4 linked regions of the Drosophila melanogaster genome follow. The protein of the gene in region 2 interacts with the protein of the main gene of each other region in a pairwise test. Each region holds a gene or a part of one and is shown on either strand. Other genes may lie near its edges.

Region 1 (4,305 bases), on a different chromosome or scaffold from region 2:
AAGTTAAGCAAACATCAAAGTAGAAATAATCGTGAAAAAAATATTTTACCTGCAGCTATGAATTTTAATATACTGTTCATGTTTTTTATTTGTCCCAAAGAATACCTACTCATACCTACTTTTATTACACTTTTAAAAGTCGTACATTTAACATCAATTTTGAGAGTATAAATATATATTACCAATTATTCAAGTTAAAAAAAATGCTACTTCTTATTTCTCAGTGTATTTGAATGGCATTGCGTTTTATTTGTCATTTCCGGTTTGTGCCGGAAGTTAAAATTATTGAAATCAAACGGAAATGCATCGAAGCAAATGCGTAAAAAAGCGGGAGCCGAAAAATATGATTAACCCATTTAAAATTATGGCAAATATTTGAATTGATTCTCAGACCTTATTAAAAGTGTTATGTCATTAAATTTCTCATTTAACTTGTATGTATATTTATGTATATAAATGGAGTTAAGATTTCGAACCGCTAATAATTTAAAATACAATAATATTATTCACGTCTGCGCTTCAGTAGGTTAAGTCCCGACTCCGATAGAACAACGATCCATCAGCGTATATGTCTGTGAATATATATATGCTGTGCGCAGCCCATAAATAAATATATAAATTTAAATAAAGGCCGCCGCAATACCCGCACACTCACAGTTTGTTTGTCAATAAATCAGAATACTTATCAACGTCAAAGTACCGCAAAGAATGTGAGCAAACAATAAGAACTAAATGTGTGTGTGTTTCAGGAGGTCCATCAGTTTATTGGGAACTATTAAAGTTATTTATGAAAATAAATGGAATACCTACAACTTAAAAATAAAACCTTTCATTGAGCTACAAACATTTCTACACAGTGCCTAAATTATTCGACAAATGCGCCTCTATCTTGACTCCAGCAGGCATTGTGGGTGCCAATTTATGGGCAATCTGTGCTTATTTTCCCATTTCCCAGCCCAACATTGTTTTGGGCCTAGTCCCGAACTAAGTCCGCTAATTGCGCCGCCTTAGCCGGGCCATCTCGACCGGGTTTCGGGGAAGGCCCCGTCCATAATTATGCGAAATGTGCGCCATTTCTTCGGACTGTTGCCTGTTATTGTTTGCATTATTAGCTGACAATTTCGGTGGCACTGTGATGCCAAGTGGTGGGTCTGTGATTAGGCCGGCTCTTTGGGCTCTGGAAATTGTGGGATTAGCAGGCGCTTTGTCTGTGGCTAGAATCTTGGTCGGGCACCATCAGCCTGTCGCTCGATAAGCGCTCCAGGGCAACTCGAGTCCAAGAAGTTGATGTTTTTCTTGCATGATTACGACCATAAGCCAACGGCGTGTTATTGCAGGCCAAAGAAGTGGACGGTTTTCTTGGGAAACGCCCGAGTTCAAATCGATTGAACCAATGTTGCTCTTTAAATTGGTTTAATTTAGACATTTATTGTATCTCAACTTCCTGGAAGCAACTTGATTAAATTTCCTAATTTAAATAACCGGAACTATTGGACAGCAACTAATTCTGAAGAGCAAAGGCCATCTAAAATATCGCTTGATTTCTTAGCTATCACTAATGTGACTATCAATTCGAGGAAATGAAATTTTGTAGAATTAATAAAAGTCGTGTGTTATTAAGAAAATATTAAAACGTATTATATTTATTGTTTGAATACCAGAACGTTTCTTATTCCGAGCACATATTGTAGCGTTTGCCCCTCGCTTTTGGCATTTAAAATGGAGCAAATATTTTAGAATTCACCTGAATCGCATGCAAAAGCCTTTGTCAACATCAATGGTCCGCTGTGACCACGCTCTTTGTTGTAGTTTTTTGTGAATGCGCAATTGTTCAGTGTCGTCATGGCTGTGGCATGCACAAAGCGCCGATTGCAACGCCCATCCATCCACCCAGCAACCCCCCCCCCCCCCCACCTACTAAAGCTTTCAGGATATGCCATCCAACTACCAACTACCATACCGACCAAAACGCTTTTTTTTCGGCGCTGACATGTCCAGGCACTGGGGCAAAAACAAACCCATATATGTATATTCAATAGGCCGGGCGCTGCCAGAGTGTTTTCCGACGTTTTTCTGTAATTCGTTGTAGGTTTTTTCCAAGTTGGCTTTCGGCCGGTCCGAAAAAAGCGGCCTGCCTACATAAAGGCGCTAGCATATTAAAGGCTTAAACCCACTCAACGGCAGATGCCATATTGTTGAAATATATGCAGATACGTCGCGCATACGTCATGTGAAGATGGAATCCGGTTTGCAAAATGCATTCCATTCAAGCAGCGTTCTGTGATTTTTCATTGCAATCGGTTAAGCAATCGAATCCACCAGATTTATGTATTGTAAGCATATATTTCCATTCAAAGCTCAAAGCGATTTTCACCTTACCTGCACAACAAAAACACTACACTAGGGTGTGATCGTAGAGCTCGGTTTTTCAAATTTCGATCGAAGTGGGCCTGGATTATTGTGCAATGCTGTCGTCCTACTGTTATATCTCATTCAGTTTCCTGTTTCGCTCCGAATAACTTCCAAATTGAACAGTAAAAATTTGTAACAAAAATAAAGTATAATATTTTTCTAGAAATTTTATTTTGGAAAACTTAAGTCGAAAACATGTGCTCTCCGTGCGGTCCTTGTAGTCCATGCGATCCCTGCTGCGGTCCCTTCGAGTGCTCACCCAAGTGCTATAATGCCGCCCAATTGGAGGCCTTGCCACAATGTGCTCCACGTATTCCACCTCCCTTCCCCAAATGCATCACCGTGCAGCAACCACCACGCATGATCTGCAAGAAACGCGTGGTGTTCACGGAGAAGATTGTGCCGGAGCCAATGGTGGTTAACCGATGCAGACAGATTACCATTCCAAAGGTCGTTGATGCCACGCGGGTGATCAAGGTGCCCAAGCTGATTTGGGTGTCGCAGATGGTGCGAGAACCCAGAGTAATCTACTACCCCTCGATGATCCCCGATCCCTATGTGGTGTGCTATCCCAAGCGCGTCTGCGAACCCCGGGAGGTGTGTCAGTCGATCCTGTGCCAGCCGAAGCCACAGACCATCGACATTCCGCCGCCAAGGGAGTACTGCTGCTATCCAAATGGACCCATCAACTACAAGCCCAGTGCAGCGTGCCCACCCTGCCCCATTGGACCATGTGCTCCTGGAGGACCCTGCTGTCCGCTGCCCTGCTTCTCCACAAACCAGTATCCCGTTGCCGAGGGTAGGTGCGGACCCTGTGGACCTTGCGGTCCAGGATGCGGACCCTGCGGTCCGCGATGTGGTCCCTGCGGACCCGGCCCGTGCGGACCCTGTGGGCCGAGATGCGGTCCGGGTGGACCGTGCGCCGTGCCCAATTGCGGGCCCTGCGGCCTCACAATGCCGTCGGGTCCGTTTGTCCCGGCTCCGTGTGGACCCTGTGCTCCATGCGGGCCATGTGGACCGCTCGGCAATAGTCCTTGCGGTCCTTGCGGACCCTGCGGACCCTGTTCGCCCCCGTGTCCGTACGAGTCACCCGAGTGCGGCCCCTGCTACCCGTGCGCCCCAACTCCCTGGAATACCCACTGCGGCCCAGTTGGTCCTTGCGGTCCTCAAGTGCCTTGTGGACCCAGCGGCCCCTGTTAACATCATCGTTGTGCTGCCTGGATTGTTGTCAGAAACCGGTGCCCAGTGGACCAACTTGTCTATCACCAATACAGATTGCCATAGTGTATTCTCGCCGTTCTGCTCAAACACCACCAAAAAAGTCTACAGTTCTCTATACTTTGTCAACGCATGGACGACTCATTGGCTGTAAATAAAAATCGGATTTATGCATATATAAGGTTTTTTCAATTTCTTTTGACAGGTTATGCAATGGTTTCTATCCAGATAAAATTTTCTACCAAATTTTTGTCAAATAGTAGGCCTTGCCTCTGCTTGTCAATCTACCTATGTTCGTTACTCAGGCTTAGCTCGCATTTTGAATCCGGTTTCGCTTCGATACACTTCTAAATTTCTCTGATCAAATTTTATAAGAAACAAAAAACAAAAATTAACTTTTTACTCTTTCGGTTTATTCTAGTCGAAACTTAAAATGTGCTCTCCGTGCGGTCCTTGTAGTCCATGCGATCCCTGCTGCGGTCCCTTCGAGTGCTCACCCAAGTGCTACAATGCCGCCCAATTGGAGGCCTTGCCACAATGTGCTCCACGTATTCCACCACCCTTCCCCAAATGCATCACCGTGCAGCAACCACCACGCATGATCTGCAAGAAACGCGTTGTGTTCACGGAGAAGATTGTGCCGGAGCCAATGGTGGTTAACCGATGCAGGCAGAT
Region 2 (8,775 bases):
GCGCTGGTGGTGGTGAATGTGTCGTTGCTGCCGCGGCTGGACACCGTTCCCGTTTCCGTGGTGAAGCCGACTCCCGCCTCGGCGCGTTCGTGCTCCAGGAACGCTTTGGTGCCGCCGAGCGTCGCCAGCGGATTCTGGAAATGCATGTTAATGTTGAGATCCGTGTGGCCGCGCTGCCGGTACTGATAGTACATGTACCCGAGTCCGGCGATCAGTGATCCGGCGGCTAGGACGAACAGTGCCATCAGCCAGTGAAAGTGACCGTTCTGCTCGTGTTCATGTTCCAATTCCAGGCTGTTGACCGCACCCAACACGGCCACCTCATTGCCAGAGCCATGGGGACACCGTTCGCCTTCGGCCACCAGACGATTGCCACACATGCATTCGTAACCGTAGTCCGCCTGCAGGCACAGTCCATGGCAGTGGGCATGGGCGCATGGATGCGACGCCTTCTGCGGCTGACGCGACCTGCCCGCCACCACAATGTCCTGGGCGTTCAGCACGTTAATGCTGATCTTGTGACAGATGCGGGATCCGTACAGTGCGCACTGCACCGCCTCCACGGAGCCCAGGTTCACGATGAACGCATTATTTTCGTACACACTCAGCCCAGATGGATGCATCAGAGCGTTGGACTTTTGCAGCATTATCTCCGGTCGACGCATGGGACCCGTTTTAAGCCTATAGCTAATCCTCTCCAGCGTGCGCATATGCTGGTCCACAAAGTACAATAGCTGCTGATGCGGATCGGTGGTCAGGGCGGTCATGAAGCTTTCGCTTCGCTGCAGCAGCATATCCCTGCGACTGCCGTCCAGTCGAGCCATGTGAATCTCCGAGCTCGTCTGGCCATAGCCCTCGGTGCGTATGACTATGTAGAAGATCCGGGCGTGATAGCCATCCACAGCCAAATGCTTAACGTGCCTGGGACTCTTCACGTGCACAATGCGGCCGCACATGCGTCCCACGAAACTGCACGCTTGGATCTCCTGCGCTCCACTGAGCACATAAACATTTCCGGTGACCCAATCCACGGAGAGTTTCGTCGGTGCGGGCAGACCCAGAGCCCGCACAATCACCTTCGTTTGCAGATCGATCTGATAGACGATGCCCTCGTCCTCGGCGGAAAAGTAACCCATTTGCCGGTGCATGGCCAGATCGAAACCGGTGATCCTCGAATCATTCGCCGACCAGGCCACATTGAGCATAACGGGCTGTTCGCTTAGGTTTCGCACTTCGTTGAAGCTGCTGAAGAGCAGAGTGGCGCCAGACTGCAGGCTCTTGCAGCTAACGCGATCCTGGCGCAGCATAAAGTCCGCATGGCACTGGCACTGATAGCCGCCGAGGGTATTCTCGCATAGCTGAGCGCATGGCTGCTGCTCCTGGCACTCGTCAATGTCTAAACAGCTCTTCTGATCCGCGTCCAGGCGATAGCCATCGAAGCAGGAGCACACGGCGCCGGCTGGTGTGGCGCGGCACTTGTGCTGGCACACCTGGCGACCCGATGCCGAACGGCAGGCGGTGGCGCACTTGGGTCCCTCGTCGTGGCCGTTGGTACAGTCCGGGAAATTGTTGCATACCCGCGACAAGTCCACGCACTCGCCGTCTTGACAATCGAAGAGATGTGGCCGACAGGATCGGCTCGAGGTGCTCCACGGCTGAATTTGGCTCTGATTGTGATGGCCCTTTTCCAGTTCGCAGCTCAACTCGTCACTGCCGTCGCCGCAGTCCTTCTGGCCATCGCAGCGGAACTCCCGCCGGATGCACTCTCGACCGGAGCGGCACTTGAACTCATATATGCTGCACACATCACCGCAATCGGCCTCATCCTCGCCGCGCGGACACTCGGTGGTGCCATTGCAGCGAACCGTAGACGGCAGACAGATCTTGAGATTGCTCGTGCATTGGTATTGATCTTCCGCGCAGGATATGTTCATCGTGGATGAGTCCGTGCCGCAATTCAGTTCGTCGGACTTATCGCCACAGTCGTTGTGGCCATCGCACACCAGACTCCGGTCCAGACACTGACCCAACAGACAGCGCTGCATGTCCGGCGGACAGCTGCGATGGACACACTTGTCGTGCTCGTCGGATCCGTCGCTACAATCGATCCGCCCGTCGCACTCCCAGCTGCCCGCTATGCAGGATCCGCTGCCGCACTGGAACATTCCCGGTTCGCATCGCGATGTCGCCTCGCACAGCAATTCGTCGGAATTATCGCCGCAATCATTGGTTCCATCGCACACCAGGCTCGAGTCCACGCACTTTCCATTGTCGCACCCGTGCTGATGGACATGGCACTTCTTGCTCTTGTCTGTGGAGTAGAGAGAGTATTCAAATTCAAATTATCCACCAAGTGCAGCTCGTTTCGCTTACCGAACTTCTCGCAGTGCTGCTCATCCGAATGGTCGTGGCAATCCTTGCGATTGTCGCATCGCCGCTCCTTGTCGACGCACTGCTCCCCGCTGTGGCAGGCGAATTGGTTGGGCGAGCACAGAACCTTTGGCTTGCGCCGATGCTCCTCGTCGCAGTTCATCTCATCCGAATTGTCCACGCAATCGCGTCGTCCGTTGCAACGGTGATTCATTGTGAGGCACTCGCCACTGTGGCAACGGAACTCACAGTCCAGAGCCTCCACGCAGGTGCGGTTACCCGCATCCCGGTAAACGAATCCGGCCGGACATAGACAGATCGAGTGGTAGGGTCCCTCGCCCACACAGATGTGCGAACAGCCGCCATTCTGCTGCTGGCAGGGATGCGATTCCTGGCCGACGGGTGAGCTGGCGGCCAGCGGAATTCCATTGGGCGTGGCCACAGGCACGTACGGCATAATGGCGGCCGGATCGTCCTTCTCCATTATATCGATCACCTTTCGCGGCCCCATATTGCTCTTGTGCGTCCAGTAAATCCTTGGCGTACCCAATTCATTCCAAAACAGATCGTGATGCACCATGGCCAGGCTATAGGGACGCCTAAGCTTGCCCCGAAAGATTTGGCTGTGCGGCACCCTGTAATTCGAGTAGCTAATCCTGCCCAGATCGCTGTCTGACCAAAAGATCGTTTGGGTCTCGTAATCGGTGACCAGCTTGATATCATCATCGCCCAGATCGTCCTCGAATACATGCACCTGTTCGCCCTTGCCGCTCAGCGGTATCTTGTCAATGTGGCTGTGCCGCTTGGCCTTGAGCACAACATACAGATAGCCCTCCGCGGGCATAACAGTGAGTCCAATTGGCACCTCCTGGCCCGGAAAGAAGCGGATCAGCGCACGATGGCGCGTCTGCAGTGAGAGCACCTCAATCACAGCCCGCTCCGTATCCGCCCAGTATAGATTCCTGCTCAAATGATCGAAGGCCAGGGCACTCACATTGCCCAAATTGGAGCGGACCAGGACGTTGCTCTCGTGCGACTCTGGCTGAAACTCCAGGATCAGTCGCTGGTCATTGTCCGCTATTATCAGGCTGCCATTGATGCGATTGTACACCATTTCGTTGATCAAGCAGGGCAGCGTGTATGACTTGCTCACCTGATGGCGCCCAAAGGCGGTGTGCTCGATCTCGAGCAGCACCTGACCGAGGCCAATGAACAATCGTTGGCGCTTCTCCATTAGCATGCAGCGCCGATGATCCGGCGCCAGCCGCATGCCATCCGGACAGGCGCAGCTGTGACCACCGATTTCGGGTTCGGCCAGCAGGCATAGGTGCGAGCATGTGGCATTTTCGCAACCATGCGGCGAGTTGGGCTGCTTGGCCGGATGATAGATGTGTACGGCGTAAATGGTACGATCCTTGGCCAGGATGCGATGATCCTTGCCGGAGAATTTGTGACACGCATGCACACTCTTCGTTGCCCAATCTGACCAGTACAGCTGATCCTCGAATATGGCCAGGCCATAGGGATGCTTCAGCATGCCGTCCAGCACCGTGCGCCGACCAGTGCCGTCGGGTCGAACCGTTTGCACGCTGCCCAACTTGGCATCCACCCAGTAGATCCTTTGCTGGTGCATGTCCAGCGCAATACCATTGGGCCATTCGATATTATCGCTGACAATCGGTCGCGACCGACTGCCGTCCATGGATGCGCGCCCTATCATGGGCTTCTCACCCCAATCCGTCCAGAACATCAAGCCCTTCTGGGGCCAAACAGCCAGTGATCGCGGCTGGTGAACATCCTGGGTGACCAGAACGGCACAGTTTAGTCCATCGTTCGAGCACACGGCTATGTGCCGCATTATGTTGTCCGAGAAGTAAATGTTCTGCGTCAGCCAATCGACAGCCAGGTCCTCTGGTGCATCCAGGCCGGAGGTCAGCAAAATTTCCGCATTCGAACCGTCTCCGTTAGCCTTCACAATGCTCTCCGCTTCGTTCTGGATGTTGGTCCAATAGATGTGGCTGCCATCGTAGGCCACGCCAATGACCTTGCTCAGATTCCCGGCCACCTGGTAGACATGATTTCGTACGTTATCCTCGCGCAGATGCATTCCCATAATCGTCATCTGGGTGGTGTACAGCAGAAGGGGCTGCTGTTCCTTAGAGCCGTAAACGACTGCGCGACACGTACGATTATCCTTGTCCAGCAGATAGCCCGCATCACAGACGCATCGATATCCGCCCGATGTGTTCTCGCATCCCTGGCTGCACAAATCATCTTGCTCCTTGCACTCGTCAACGTCCTCGCACTTGTCCTCGAATTTAGCCAGCCGGAATCCCTTTGGGCAGAAGCACTCGGCTCCGCTGGCAGGCATCATGTGGCATTTGGCTCCCAGCGCACACTTCTTCGCATCGCAGTCCGGCTTGGAGTGACAGAGGTCGGTCTCATCGCTGCCGTCGGAACAGTCGCTGTGCCCATCGCACACTTCGCTCAGGGTCAGACAGGTTTCTCGGTTCCGGCATAGGAATTTCCCCTTTTGTGGCTCACATAGATTTACTGAAATGATGCCGAGTCGCATGTTTCAAGAGCATCAGGCTTGGAGTATCCAACAAAGAATTTTAACTTACAGCATCCTCGTTCGTCGCTTCCATCGCCGCAATCGTCAACGCCATCGCAGACCCACTGCTTCCGGCGCAAGCACCGTCCGTTGGCGCACAGGTGACCCTCGCCGGGGCAGGTGATCTCCGCCTGCTTGCAGCCAGCCACCTCGTCCGACTTGTCCGTGCAATCCGGCCGGCCGTCGCACATGAAATCAATGGGAATGCAGGTGCGATCCTGCTGGCACATGAACTCGTACTTGCTGCAGCTGCGCATGCGATGAGCGGTGTCACCGAATCGGAATCCTGGCCGCACCGGGCAGTTGAGCTCATCCTCGCCGCCGGGACAGTTGTCGATGCCGTTGCACATTAGTTCCGCTGCCAGGCAGGCTCCGTGTGGCTGGGCACACGGGAACCAATGTGGCGGTCGGCACAGTCGGTAGTCTGGATATCCGGATTGGAATGAAGATTATATGTTATTCAACTACATATAAGATTGTCACAACACGTTTATATATTATTGGATATATTAGTCTCACTAGTAAATTCATTGGAATATGGGGATGTGGCATCTCTAGATAGGATTCCCTAACCATCAAAATTATAGCTAAAGAAATCTGGTTAATCCGACTCCATAGTAGCTATGCCCTCTCCATTTAAAGCCACCCCCTGCTGAACGACGGCATTGATTCCACCCATGCTCACCGCAGTCCAATTCATCCGAGCTGTCCTTGCAGTCTCCGCGTCCGTCGCACATCTTCGCCTGTAAGATGCAGCCGCCGTCTCTGCACTGGAATTGTCCCGCATCGCACCGCGTGTCCGCTGATCCCGGCGTGCCGGCAGCAGTACCACCGCAAAGTCCCACGAGCAGGAGCAGCGAGATTGCCACGTGGCGTCCATTGATGATCAGATGTGTTCGCTGGCAATTTCCGTATCGACTGGACGTTGAGCCACCACTGGATGGGTGAGCGCGTGTCTGCGAGGTTAGGTTGAATCCTCGCCGGCTGGCGGTCATCTTCGGGCTCTCTACCCGGATCCTTTGCTCGCTGGGGTGCACCTGGTGCTCGGCCTGGCACATTTAACACGAAACACACACAATTTGAACGATGATTAACACGCAGGACTGGTTAATTGAAATTAAAACGGGAATGGGAAACAGAAAGTATGGCTTGCAGCTTGGAAAGCTGAAAGCGAATTGAACGAGGAAAACCGTTCGGTTCCAACGGAACACGTCGATCAGGGCAGGGCTTTGGAAAAGCACCGTTATTTCGGAGTGACCAGATGCCAGATGGTTGTACACCGATATAAACCGTTTGGTAATAGTTTAATTGGTATTTAAAACTACATATTTTAAGGCGCCAAATTTGAAAACAGTTTCATCATAAAAGCTCACAGCAATTTATTCCAGTGCATGCCAAATACCGTACCTGGGTGGCAACGCCGTTCGACATCAATTTAAAAACTTGACCATCAAATATCGCAAAAGGATTGCACCAAATACAGCGTGATTAATTGCCCGTTCATGATGTCAGCGGTGTCTGGAAATTTACAAAAAAAAAAACCAAATTATTGCAGTGGGAAACGACGGGATCCGAAACAGAAACCGACACAGAAACATTTACCCATTTGGATGACCCATTGCAACAATTAATAACGGTTATGCCCGCAAGATTTATGAGCAACGACAGATAAACAAGACCGAAGCGTTTTGGCCGCCTCAACCGCCAAATGTCATAAAAAATCAGAGACAAAACCCGAATTGCTGAATTGCTTAGAAACCAGAAGAGCACTCAGAAATTTGTATAATTAAGGAAAAGAGCGAGTGCGAGTTCGAATTCACACGCGGTAGGGGGCGTGCCGCGCTCGTAAAAACAAAACTAACGCGAAGCCAAACCCAAATCTGGGAATACACTGGAAGAAATTAGCAGGTGCAGCTTATATTACATTTAATTTTCTTTACTAAGAATTCGAACATACATATATTTCTGAACAATTATGGAACTAGGGCAACTTACCCATATTACTTTAATGCAGTCGAAATTAAATATTTACAACTTCAATCAAATTTTACTTATTGTATTGTATCATTGTCTTGGTATATTTATTCCAATAAGAAAAAATACTGGCTTAGCACTAGATTTTCTCCGTGTGCATGGACTCCATAAGGCGAACGTGGTTTTTCCACGTCGAGACAATTTGTTGCTTCTATGCCGGATGAGTCGTGGGACATCGAACGAGCCGCGATGACAAGCGAACATGACGAACTTCTCGGAGCATCTGGGACTTCTATGGAGTCTATGGAGACCACTCTGCCGTCCGGTTGCCTGCCACCGCCTGGCCCGTTGAGTAATGGGCCCCGTCCGCCGTCGACATGTCCGTCGCGCCAAGGCGTTAAAATCATCAGTTGTAAAGTATCTGGGGTGCACATCGCGATTTGCGCTTGCCAGCGTATAAAAACTACACTCGGTCGATGGATCAGCAACAGTTGATCGCCAGCGTCCATCCGGTGCATACACAGCTACAGGAATTCCAATCCTCTCAAGCAACACACCGAGCTTACCCAAAAGTTCCCGCAATGGTAAGGGCTCAAGACGAGCGTGATTGAATGCTCCTCCTTGCAAGCAATTTTTTAAATTTTAACATATATTTAGAACAAAGCCTCTTTAAAGCACAACGTTGCATACTTTAAGTGACTCCCAGTGCTTTTTAATCCCACGATTCCTTGTCCGCAGAACTCCGTAACCGTACTCGCCATCTTCGCCGCCTCCTTGGCCTTCTGTGCCGGCGATGTGTCGCATTTGTCGCGCAGCTATCTGCCTCCTTTGAGCGGCGGCTACTCCGGCTACTCCTCCGGTTACTCCTCGTATCCATCGTACTCGAGCGGATCTGGTTATTACTCGGGTGGCGGCAGCTACGCCTCGCCAATCATCTCGTCCAGCTACAAGAACTACGCGGTGCCGCAGTACACAACCTATGCCACGCCATCGCGCACCTATTTGCCCGCGAATGCGGGCTACACCGGCTACTCCGGCTACTCGGGCTACTCCGGCTACAATGGATTGGACACCAAGTACGGCAGCAATGGTGGCTACGTCTACTAGGCGCTAATCAAGTTTTCGGGAGGCCAGCAACAATGGAGCCAGCAGACAAACTATATATTCCTCTAATCTTTTTTTTTTTTCTTGGCTAAGCAATTTTCTTTAATGGCTACTAAATATTTTCGAATACTTAATAACGAATAACGAATTTCATGGCGTATTTATTTGGAGAGGGAGTTGCTTATTTTCCAAACCACTCATTGAAGATCTTAATTTTTTGACATTTTTGGGGCGAAGCGAGTGGTTCTATAAATACAGGATACAGATCCTGAAGAAACTTTTTCGAAAATTTTGGTATTCTTACCTGAGTATTAAAAAAAATGTATTCAAAAGTGATTGAAAAGAATTGCTAATATCAAGTAACTGATAGTCGAGACTCTCGACTTCATCATTCCTGCTTGATTTTAGTTATGAAAATCTGTCAGATACTTGTAATACCCATTAGTGTTAAAGTATGCTAAGGTATGCTAGACTCGTTGATAAGTATGCAACTGAGCAGAGAAAATCGTTTCCAAGCGTAAGATCTAAATTTATATAGCGCTTCAATATCTAAGTAAAGGGTAGCTAATAGTCGCGACACTTGACTATAATACTCAAGTAATTCATTTCATGCCTTCCCAACTTTATTTTGATTAAATAAAAAAAAAATGCATACAATATAATCCGTTTTTTTTTCGAAATGATCCTCTCAATGCTTTAGGCGGTACTCGTAG
Region 3 (4,279 bases), on a different chromosome or scaffold from region 2:
AGCGGCCTGCCTACATAAAGGCGCTAGCATATTAAAGGCTTAAACCCACTCAACGGCAGATGCCATATTGTTGAAATATATGCAGATACGTCGCGCATACGTCATGTGAAGATGGAATCCGGTTTGCAAAATGCATTCCATTCAAGCAGCGTTCTGTGATTTTTCATTGCAATCGGTTAAGCAATCGAATCCACCAGATTTATGTATTGTAAGCATATATTTCCATTCAAAGCTCAAAGCGATTTTCACCTTACCTGCACAACAAAAACACTACACTAGGGTGTGATCGTAGAGCTCGGTTTTTCAAATTTCGATCGAAGTGGGCCTGGATTATTGTGCAATGCTGTCGTCCTACTGTTATATCTCATTCAGTTTCCTGTTTCGCTCCGAATAACTTCCAAATTGAACAGTAAAAATTTGTAACAAAAATAAAGTATAATATTTTTCTAGAAATTTTATTTTGGAAAACTTAAGTCGAAAACATGTGCTCTCCGTGCGGTCCTTGTAGTCCATGCGATCCCTGCTGCGGTCCCTTCGAGTGCTCACCCAAGTGCTATAATGCCGCCCAATTGGAGGCCTTGCCACAATGTGCTCCACGTATTCCACCTCCCTTCCCCAAATGCATCACCGTGCAGCAACCACCACGCATGATCTGCAAGAAACGCGTGGTGTTCACGGAGAAGATTGTGCCGGAGCCAATGGTGGTTAACCGATGCAGACAGATTACCATTCCAAAGGTCGTTGATGCCACGCGGGTGATCAAGGTGCCCAAGCTGATTTGGGTGTCGCAGATGGTGCGAGAACCCAGAGTAATCTACTACCCCTCGATGATCCCCGATCCCTATGTGGTGTGCTATCCCAAGCGCGTCTGCGAACCCCGGGAGGTGTGTCAGTCGATCCTGTGCCAGCCGAAGCCACAGACCATCGACATTCCGCCGCCAAGGGAGTACTGCTGCTATCCAAATGGACCCATCAACTACAAGCCCAGTGCAGCGTGCCCACCCTGCCCCATTGGACCATGTGCTCCTGGAGGACCCTGCTGTCCGCTGCCCTGCTTCTCCACAAACCAGTATCCCGTTGCCGAGGGTAGGTGCGGACCCTGTGGACCTTGCGGTCCAGGATGCGGACCCTGCGGTCCGCGATGTGGTCCCTGCGGACCCGGCCCGTGCGGACCCTGTGGGCCGAGATGCGGTCCGGGTGGACCGTGCGCCGTGCCCAATTGCGGGCCCTGCGGCCTCACAATGCCGTCGGGTCCGTTTGTCCCGGCTCCGTGTGGACCCTGTGCTCCATGCGGGCCATGTGGACCGCTCGGCAATAGTCCTTGCGGTCCTTGCGGACCCTGCGGACCCTGTTCGCCCCCGTGTCCGTACGAGTCACCCGAGTGCGGCCCCTGCTACCCGTGCGCCCCAACTCCCTGGAATACCCACTGCGGCCCAGTTGGTCCTTGCGGTCCTCAAGTGCCTTGTGGACCCAGCGGCCCCTGTTAACATCATCGTTGTGCTGCCTGGATTGTTGTCAGAAACCGGTGCCCAGTGGACCAACTTGTCTATCACCAATACAGATTGCCATAGTGTATTCTCGCCGTTCTGCTCAAACACCACCAAAAAAGTCTACAGTTCTCTATACTTTGTCAACGCATGGACGACTCATTGGCTGTAAATAAAAATCGGATTTATGCATATATAAGGTTTTTTCAATTTCTTTTGACAGGTTATGCAATGGTTTCTATCCAGATAAAATTTTCTACCAAATTTTTGTCAAATAGTAGGCCTTGCCTCTGCTTGTCAATCTACCTATGTTCGTTACTCAGGCTTAGCTCGCATTTTGAATCCGGTTTCGCTTCGATACACTTCTAAATTTCTCTGATCAAATTTTATAAGAAACAAAAAACAAAAATTAACTTTTTACTCTTTCGGTTTATTCTAGTCGAAACTTAAAATGTGCTCTCCGTGCGGTCCTTGTAGTCCATGCGATCCCTGCTGCGGTCCCTTCGAGTGCTCACCCAAGTGCTACAATGCCGCCCAATTGGAGGCCTTGCCACAATGTGCTCCACGTATTCCACCACCCTTCCCCAAATGCATCACCGTGCAGCAACCACCACGCATGATCTGCAAGAAACGCGTTGTGTTCACGGAGAAGATTGTGCCGGAGCCAATGGTGGTTAACCGATGCAGGCAGATCACCATTCCAAAGGTCGTTGATGCCACGCGGGTGATCAAGGTGCCCAAGCTGATTTGGGTGTCGCAGATGGTGCGAGAACCCAGAGTAATCTACTACCCCTCGATGATCCCCGACCCCTATGTGGTGTGCTATCCCAAGCGCGTCTGCGAACCACGTGAGGTGTGTCAGTCGATCCTCTGCCAGCCGAAGCCCCAAACCATCGACATTCCGCCGCCGAGGGAGTACTGCTGCTATCCAAATGGACCCATCAACTACAAGCCCAGTGCAGCGTGCCCACCCTGCCCCATTGGACCATGTGCTCCTGGAGGACCCTGCTGTCCGCTGCCCTGCTTCTCCACAAACCAATACCCAGTGGCTGAGGGCAGATGCGGACCATGTGGACCCTGTGGACCCGGATGCGGACCTTGCGGACCCTGCGGACCTTGGGGACCAGGATGCGGTCCTTGCGGACCCTGTGGACCCTGCGGACCCTTCGGACCAGGCTGTGGTCCATGCGGACCGTGTGGACCCTGCGGACCTGGCCCTTGTGGCTTCGGTCCTTGCGGACCATGCTGATCTGTAAAACAGCTGGAAAGATCTACTTGACGTCTGCCAAAAACATTTTGTGACAACTCCGCGTTATGGAAGTCCACATCCGCGCTCAATTATATGACAGTCCAAATTAACTTTGCAAGTTTTGTAAATTAAAGAAGTGCATTGATACAATATTTAAACCACATTTTTTCTTCGGGCATTTGTTTCGGAAATTTCGTTGTTTCATTGCATTTAATATGCTATGTATTTTTCAGATAACGAAAGTTGAGATTCGGGATTTTTGTTTCGAAAGGCCTGTTGGGGAATTTTTATTTTATTTTATTATTATTTTAAAAACTCATACTTGTTAGTTCACCAGTGTAGCCCTGAGTCACCTGTCAGCTTGTGGACTTACTGGTAATAGTTGTAGTAGTCATATCCAAATTATTCTTGATCTTAAATCATGTCGAAATATGTGGCTAGAGTGGGCCCAGCGGTTTTCTCCAAGTTGGGAAAGTGGGCCTACAACATGTCTGGATTCAACCAATACGGCCTGTATCGCGATGACTGTCTGTACGAGAATGAGGATGTGGCAGAAGCAGTGCGTCGTCTGCCCCGCAAACTGTACGATGAACGCAACTATCGCATTCTTCGAGCACTGCACCTTTCCATGACCAAGACGATCCTGCCCAAGGAGCAGTGGACCAAGTACGAGGAGGACATCAAGTACTTGGAGCCCTATCTTAACGAAGTGCAAAAGGAGCGCGAAGAGCGTGAGGAATGGAGCAAAACTCATTGATCCGGATACTTCGGTTACAAAGAATGTCATAACCAAAACATAAAGGTTATTTAAATAAATCGTTAATATAAATAGGCATAGAAAAAAAAACAACTTTAATTATCTGGTTTTAATATCATAACATCTAATATCACTTTATCGCCAGCTTTTTTTAAGCGCGTCTCTCAATATCGTCAGCCGTTTAAAAATCCCCTGCGATCCACAGCAATGTCAACGCAAATAATTTTCGCATTAAGTGCATTCGCATAAATACAATATATGAAATTCATTAACAGCGAATACAATACAAATTAGTGCTGCTGGGTGGGGCGTGAGCCGCCCATTGAACATGTGTATGCCGCCCCACGATTTAAAATGACAGTGGAGGAGTGGGCGTGGCAGCGTCAGCGGCAAACAAAATGCGTGTGCATGGCCCGCACATCCTGTCAATCCTCGTATACTTATGCGCATCCTGTTTAAAATGCAGCAAACAGCAACAATGCAGTTGCAGTTGCGATTGCCGTTGCAGATGCAGATACTTTCGCAGTCGTATATATCTGCATCTCTGCCGCTGTCTGATTGTTCTGGCGCTGCCATTCGACCGGAAGAAATTATTGTTATTCGAATTGATCTGCCATAGTTTCGATTTCGATGTTGGCCACTGCGATAGGCAATGCTCCTGCCATGGAGCGATATCGCTGCGTCTGCGGCCAGTAACTGCCAGAGTTCTGATAACGTCAACGCAGGAGGATGCAGCAAACGTAATGGTTACCCTGTAATGTTAAGGGCTGAAGGTATGTAACGCTG
Region 4 (4,960 bases), on a different chromosome or scaffold from region 2:
CGATCTAGTGATGTTCCCTCCGCTGCCCCTGTGCTCGATGGCGCCATGGACATTAACACTGCCCTCCAGGAGGTCTTGAAGAAGTCCCTGATCGCCGATGGACTCGTCCATGGCATCCACCAGGCCTGCAAGGCCCTGGACAAGTAAGTAGTCCCACAATCTGGCGGTCAACGTGGTTATTCACTTGGGCTCTTAGATGCAAAATGCGAAAGGGTAAAAGCTATAGTAATATATTTCAAAGTCGACCATTCTATAGTTGAAAGCAATCTATATGATTGATAGAAATATATATTTCAGTTCAAATCATTTGAAATACATAGACCACGTTTTAAAAAGTGTGGGTCTTCATTCAACTTAACCTATTTTCAGGAAATGAATCTTATTTCCTCCTTGAATTTTTTAATCGTTTATTAATCGTAATGATATTTATAATAATCCACTAAGTGCATTAAAGATAAATCCCAAGTGTGTTTCCACATTAAATCATCTTGATTTTGCTGTTCTGACTGTGATGAAATTAATTGGTCCGTGTTTATGAATTTATATTGATTAAAAACCTTCCAATTACTGAGCAAATGACAGCGTATCGAGTTGCATTGTATGAAAAAAAACCATTCCTAATTACAATATATTGTTTTACCAACAGGCGTCAGGCTGTTCTGTGCATCCTAGCCGAGTCCTTCGACGAGCCCAACTACAAGAAGCTGGTTACCGCCCTGTGCAACGAGCACCAGATCCCCCTTATCCGCGTGGACTCGCACAAGAAGCTGGGCGAATGGTCCGGTCTGTGCAAGATCGACAAGGAGGGCAAGCCCCGCAAGGTGTGCGGCTGCTCCGTGGTCGTGATCAAGGATTTCGGTGAGGAGACACCCGCTTTGGACGTGGTTAAGGACCATCTCAGGCAGAACAGCTAAACAGCTGCGCACTGCCTGCTGAATGAGAGACTACGTGAAAGTTCTTTTTAAGCTATTCGCTAATTGAAAATAAAACGTATTGAACCTGAATCCAGATGAAAAAATAAAAGAAAGTCGACCTTTTTACATTTTTGGAATGTTCTATTATATTGAAAAAATTATTTTGTATACTAGACGCTGGGTCACAATTAAGTTTTAAGGCAGACGAGCTTGTGCTGTGGCCAATCCTTGAGCTGACAATCACTGAAAGAAAAAATATTATAGAAGAAGCGAACTCCGCAAAAGTTGCGTCCAACCCACCGGGAGCAGTAGTGCACCTTCTTGCAGCAGGCACACTTCTTTTTGGCCTTCGCCTGGCAAGTGGCGCAAGTATGGTCCGTATCTCCATCGCCACCAGCGCCGGCATCCTTTGCTTCGCCCATCTTGAGATCATCCATATTCTGCTCCAGTTCACAGAGCAAGTCCGTGCCGTAGGCTTTGCTGAGGCGAGTGGCCAAAGCGCAGATGTTTTCCTTGTTCTTGCTAAGGAAAACCGAGTCCTGATCCTGGGCAATCTGATAGAAGCCGCCATTTTCCTCGACATCCTTGAGCAGTTCCTCCTGGATCTGCGGAATGTCCTCCAGCAAGAGCGGCTGTGTCTTGGCCGTATTGCCGCTGAGCGTCAGGCGGCTGAGGAACACCTTTAGCTCTATAAGTGGCGGCAGCTGGTCCAGCAACGGCTCGTGCATGAGACCCAAAAGCTAAGGAAGTCAGCTTGGTAAGTCAGCGCATTAATCATAGATATATGTAGGTGGCAACTAACCTTGTGTAACTGCTTGCAGCGTGCCTCGTTGAAAGCATAGTTCTCCATGATCTGAGGATTAAGGAGCAGCTGACGCACACAAAACCAGGCCTGCGCCTCTGGCTTGACAATCTTGGTGACGTCGTCCACATTGGTCCACTTCTCGTCGATGAACTTCTGAATGCCCTTGCTGGTCTTTCTCTGCCACGGACTAAAACGAGGAGAAATGTGTAAAATATAAAAAAAAACTCACTTATCCGTGCTGCTCACCGGAAGCTAAGCACATCTGCCATGAGCCACGGAATGTCATGGGTCACCAGCAAACGGCGTGCGGCGCTTAGATGAAACAATGTCACATTATCTGCTATGTAGTTCAGCACTGAGATGCAGCGCAGTCCAATCTTATAGATAAAGTCGCGCTTCTGGCGCTCCAGCTCCGTGAGCACTGCCTCATCCACGTCCAGCTTTGTCTCGTTCTCGTGGTAACCCATGCTAACCAAGCCAATGACCTGGGAAATGGCCTGGGCGCAATAGTCAATCAAATCCAGCACGGACTCCTGCAGCGTCTCACAGCCACTCGGATGGTAGAGGCACACATCCAGAAGCGCTACCAAAGCAGCCTCGTGATATAGCACCGTGTAGATAAGGAACGTGGCCTGCGGATTGGGATCAATCTCCAGCAGATGCGGCAGAACACGCGTCTTCCACAACGTTACGCAATAGGCTTCGTGGATCAGCACGCGTAGCTTGTCGCGCGAGATGAGGAACTCCTTCACCTCCTCCTCGCGATTCTGGGACAGCTCCAAGGCGGCCTGCTGGCTCAGCCCGAGGATCATCTCGTGCACCTCCAGCCACTTCGGGCTGCCCACCTCACGCACCTCAAATGGACGAATGCTCTCCACAAAGAGATACATTTCCTCGGGGTGCACAAAGTTTACCATTTTGTTTTTATACTGATTTTAATATTTTTTCGGATATTTCAAAACACGTTTTATCCGGCTTGTTTTGCTAAGACTGACGACTAACGAAAGACTGGGGACTGAGTTAAATTATTATTTTAGGTTGTCATGGCAGTCACAGGTTGCTAGGATTCTCTTAATAAATAAAACATATCTAAGATATGTAGTTTTAACGTTAAATTTGAATGCCAATCTTCTGGTATACCAATTATCAGAGCAAACTGAACATGCTTAAAAGGTCTTTAAAAAAGTGAAAATTTGGCATATTTGTATGCCTTTTCTAAAATGGTGTTAAAAGAAAATAAGCTAGAAAATAAAACTGAGAACTAATAGGTGTTATAGGATGATGTTAAACTATTAAAATGTAATGTAAATGTAAGTATCCTCCATATGTTACTTATACTATTGACATTATATCATAGTTAAGATAGTTTGGTGAAATAGAAAATGAATGAGCTGCAGAATTTGAAAGCTACCTATGCTAATATGGGCAGTCTAGCAGTCTAAAGTCTAGACGTAAAGAGTTAGTAACCTTTTTGGAAAACATGCCTGGTTTTTGGCAGCAGTCAGTCCGCAGGCATTTCGTTTTCATTTATTTTGGCAGCTACATATTACGGCAGGCCACTTGATTGTTGGCCACCGATAAAGGCGTTTGGAGCGTCGGCCGTGGACAATTGGAACTCGTTCAGTCACTTTCGCTGAAAAGTTGCGTTGACACTGCGCATGCGTAGCGTGTGATGCGAGGATGGAGATGTGCGGATGGGGCAGGTGGGGGGATCATGGGGGTCTCATGTTTCGTGGGGGACAAACAATATTTCTTTCGTTTTCTTTGTGGCAGTGCGTTTGTTTCAATTGTTAGTAGTAATTTAATTTTATTTATATACGTAGCGACGGTCGAACGCTTTTTCTGCACGACGCGACGACAATTGACTTCAAATGTCGTTTGGCCGATGGGGAAAAAGTTACGACCACTATGAAAGTTTCTGTGGCCTTTCGGCGTTTTCTTCATTTTTCGATAATAACCGAAACGAATTGAAACGAATATAGCTTGATAACTTTCCCAAAAGAAAATGAAAAGCGCCTTTTAATTGCCAGACGAAGTGAAAGAAATGGAGCGATGGGCATTTACAGAATGCGCGATTGCGCAATGCCATTAATCGATAACCAATTAACCGATAAGTCGGTTTGCAATGCTTTCAGATTCGTATGAAGATGGAAACCCCTTCCCGCGAGTATTGTCATATCCATTTAATATTAAGTTTTTCACATTATTATTAACAATTAGACTCTAAAAATCTGAAATATTAAGTGATTTAAAAATGTATAAGCTTTATAATTTGTTTTGACCCTCTTAGATCTTTCTGTCACAAATGTCCATGGACTCCCTGTAAAATAAAGATTAGGTTCTATAAGTCACAGAAGTTTGTTCAATTAAATCATTTAACAATAAAACAGTTCCTCCTCCTCTCTCATCTCAATATTTAAACAAGATTATGTATGAGTTGGCTTTGGTTGCAAACAAAATGGCAGATGGCATCCGATTTGATCACAATGAAGTGTATGTGGAGTGATCAGTGAACATCATGCCATCTTTATGATCTGATATTTTAACTTCAAACAGATACAGATTTGAAACAGATTTTGACGGAAAAAATTTATTGGAAACATGATAAGAGGCATTGGACTAATATTGTTTCCGATCCTTGTAGTTACGTCAATTATTTTCTGCTGTGTCTGCTGCATTTGCCTCATCTTCTGCGGGTGCTGCTCGGCACTAATGCGATCCCTTCATCTGGATCCACCTTTACCGCGGGCTCGTCCTCAGCCCCGACAAATAATGGCAGTTGGATCACCCATGACTCAGCAGGCAGTGATAGCCATAGAAGGAGAAGTTTAGAGCCTAGAGGATGTGATCCCAAATGCTGTTCATGCCAAAATTCCATGTGTATAGTGCCTTGAAACCATTTTTCTTTTTAAAGTCAAACATTAAAGTCTAAGATGGCAGCCTCCTTAGTCTTCTTTTATATTAATACTACTTAGCTACATTAATAATTTAAATCATATATCCTAATAATTTAAATCATAAGATCCACTTGATAATGAGATCGTAATATATCCTAACAAACCTTAAATCTGTTTAGAGTCTGATCTTACTATATTCTCGAATTTTAAAAAGTATATGAGACATTGAATGGCTAGTTTGATTTATTGAGCTGTGGCATCAGAATGTTTTTAACAATAATCCTGACATTCCTGGTCGGAATTGTGCTGTTCGTGTGCCTGTGCTATACCCTGATGTTCCTGGC

What was found.
Region 1: the proteins of yl (region 2) and Mst98Ca interact in a two-hybrid assay, tested with the Drosophila melanogaster proteins (one large-scale study listed by BioGRID).
Region 3: the proteins of yl (region 2) and Mst98Cb interact in a two-hybrid assay, tested with the Drosophila melanogaster proteins (one large-scale study listed by BioGRID).
Region 4: the proteins of yl (region 2) and Zmynd10 interact in a two-hybrid assay, tested with the Drosophila melanogaster proteins (one large-scale study listed by BioGRID).

What each region holds. Positions count from the first base shown.
Region 1 is NT_033777.3:28,288,852-28,293,156, forward strand, and holds Mst98Ca (Male-specific RNA 98Ca), read left to right. Parts: upstream 1-2,486; 5' UTR 2,487-2,607; coding exon 2,608-3,612; 3' UTR 3,613-3,805; downstream 3,806-4,305. Other genes in the region: Mst98Cb (Male-specific RNA 98Cb), read left to right, coding at 4,064-4,305.
Region 2 is NC_004354.4:14,190,646-14,199,420, reverse strand, and holds the start of yl (yolkless), read right to left. Parts: upstream 6,208-8,775; 5' UTR 6,043-6,207; coding exon 5,670-6,042; intron 5,409-5,669; coding exon 4,995-5,408; intron 4,924-4,994; coding exon 2,374-4,923; intron 2,312-2,373; coding exon 1-2,311. Other genes in the region: CG13403 (uncharacterized protein), read left to right, coding at 7,435-7,542, 7,697-8,065; CG11585 (uncharacterized protein), read right to left, coding at 8,751-8,775. UniProt on the Drosophila melanogaster protein: Cell surface receptor involved in uptake of vitellogenins (yolk proteins) into developing oocytes by receptor-mediated endocytosis. May also mediate uptake of apolpp/apolipophorins and their incorporation into yolk granules.
Region 3 is NT_033777.3:28,290,977-28,295,255, forward strand, and holds Mst98Cb (Male-specific RNA 98Cb), read left to right. Parts: upstream 1-1,821; 5' UTR 1,822-1,938; coding exon 1,939-2,736; 3' UTR 2,737-2,887; downstream 2,888-4,279. Other genes in the region: Mst98Ca (Male-specific RNA 98Ca), read left to right, coding at 483-1,487; UQCR-14L (Ubiquinol-cytochrome c reductase 14 kDa subunit-like), read left to right, coding at 3,158-3,493.
Region 4 is NT_037436.4:13,023,724-13,028,683, forward strand, and holds Zmynd10 (zinc finger MYND-type containing 10), read right to left. Parts: upstream 2,715-4,960; 5' UTR 2,637-2,714; coding exon 1,966-2,636; intron 1,907-1,965; coding exon 1,717-1,906; intron 1,655-1,716; coding exon 1,215-1,654; intron 1,158-1,214; coding exon 1,103-1,157; 3' UTR 1,040-1,102; downstream 1-1,039. Other genes in the region: RpS12 (ribosomal protein S12), read left to right, coding at 9-143, 647-914. UniProt on the Drosophila melanogaster protein: Plays a role in axonemal structure organization and motility. May be involved in axonemal pre-assembly of inner and outer dynein arms (IDA and ODA, respectively) for proper axoneme building for cilia motility.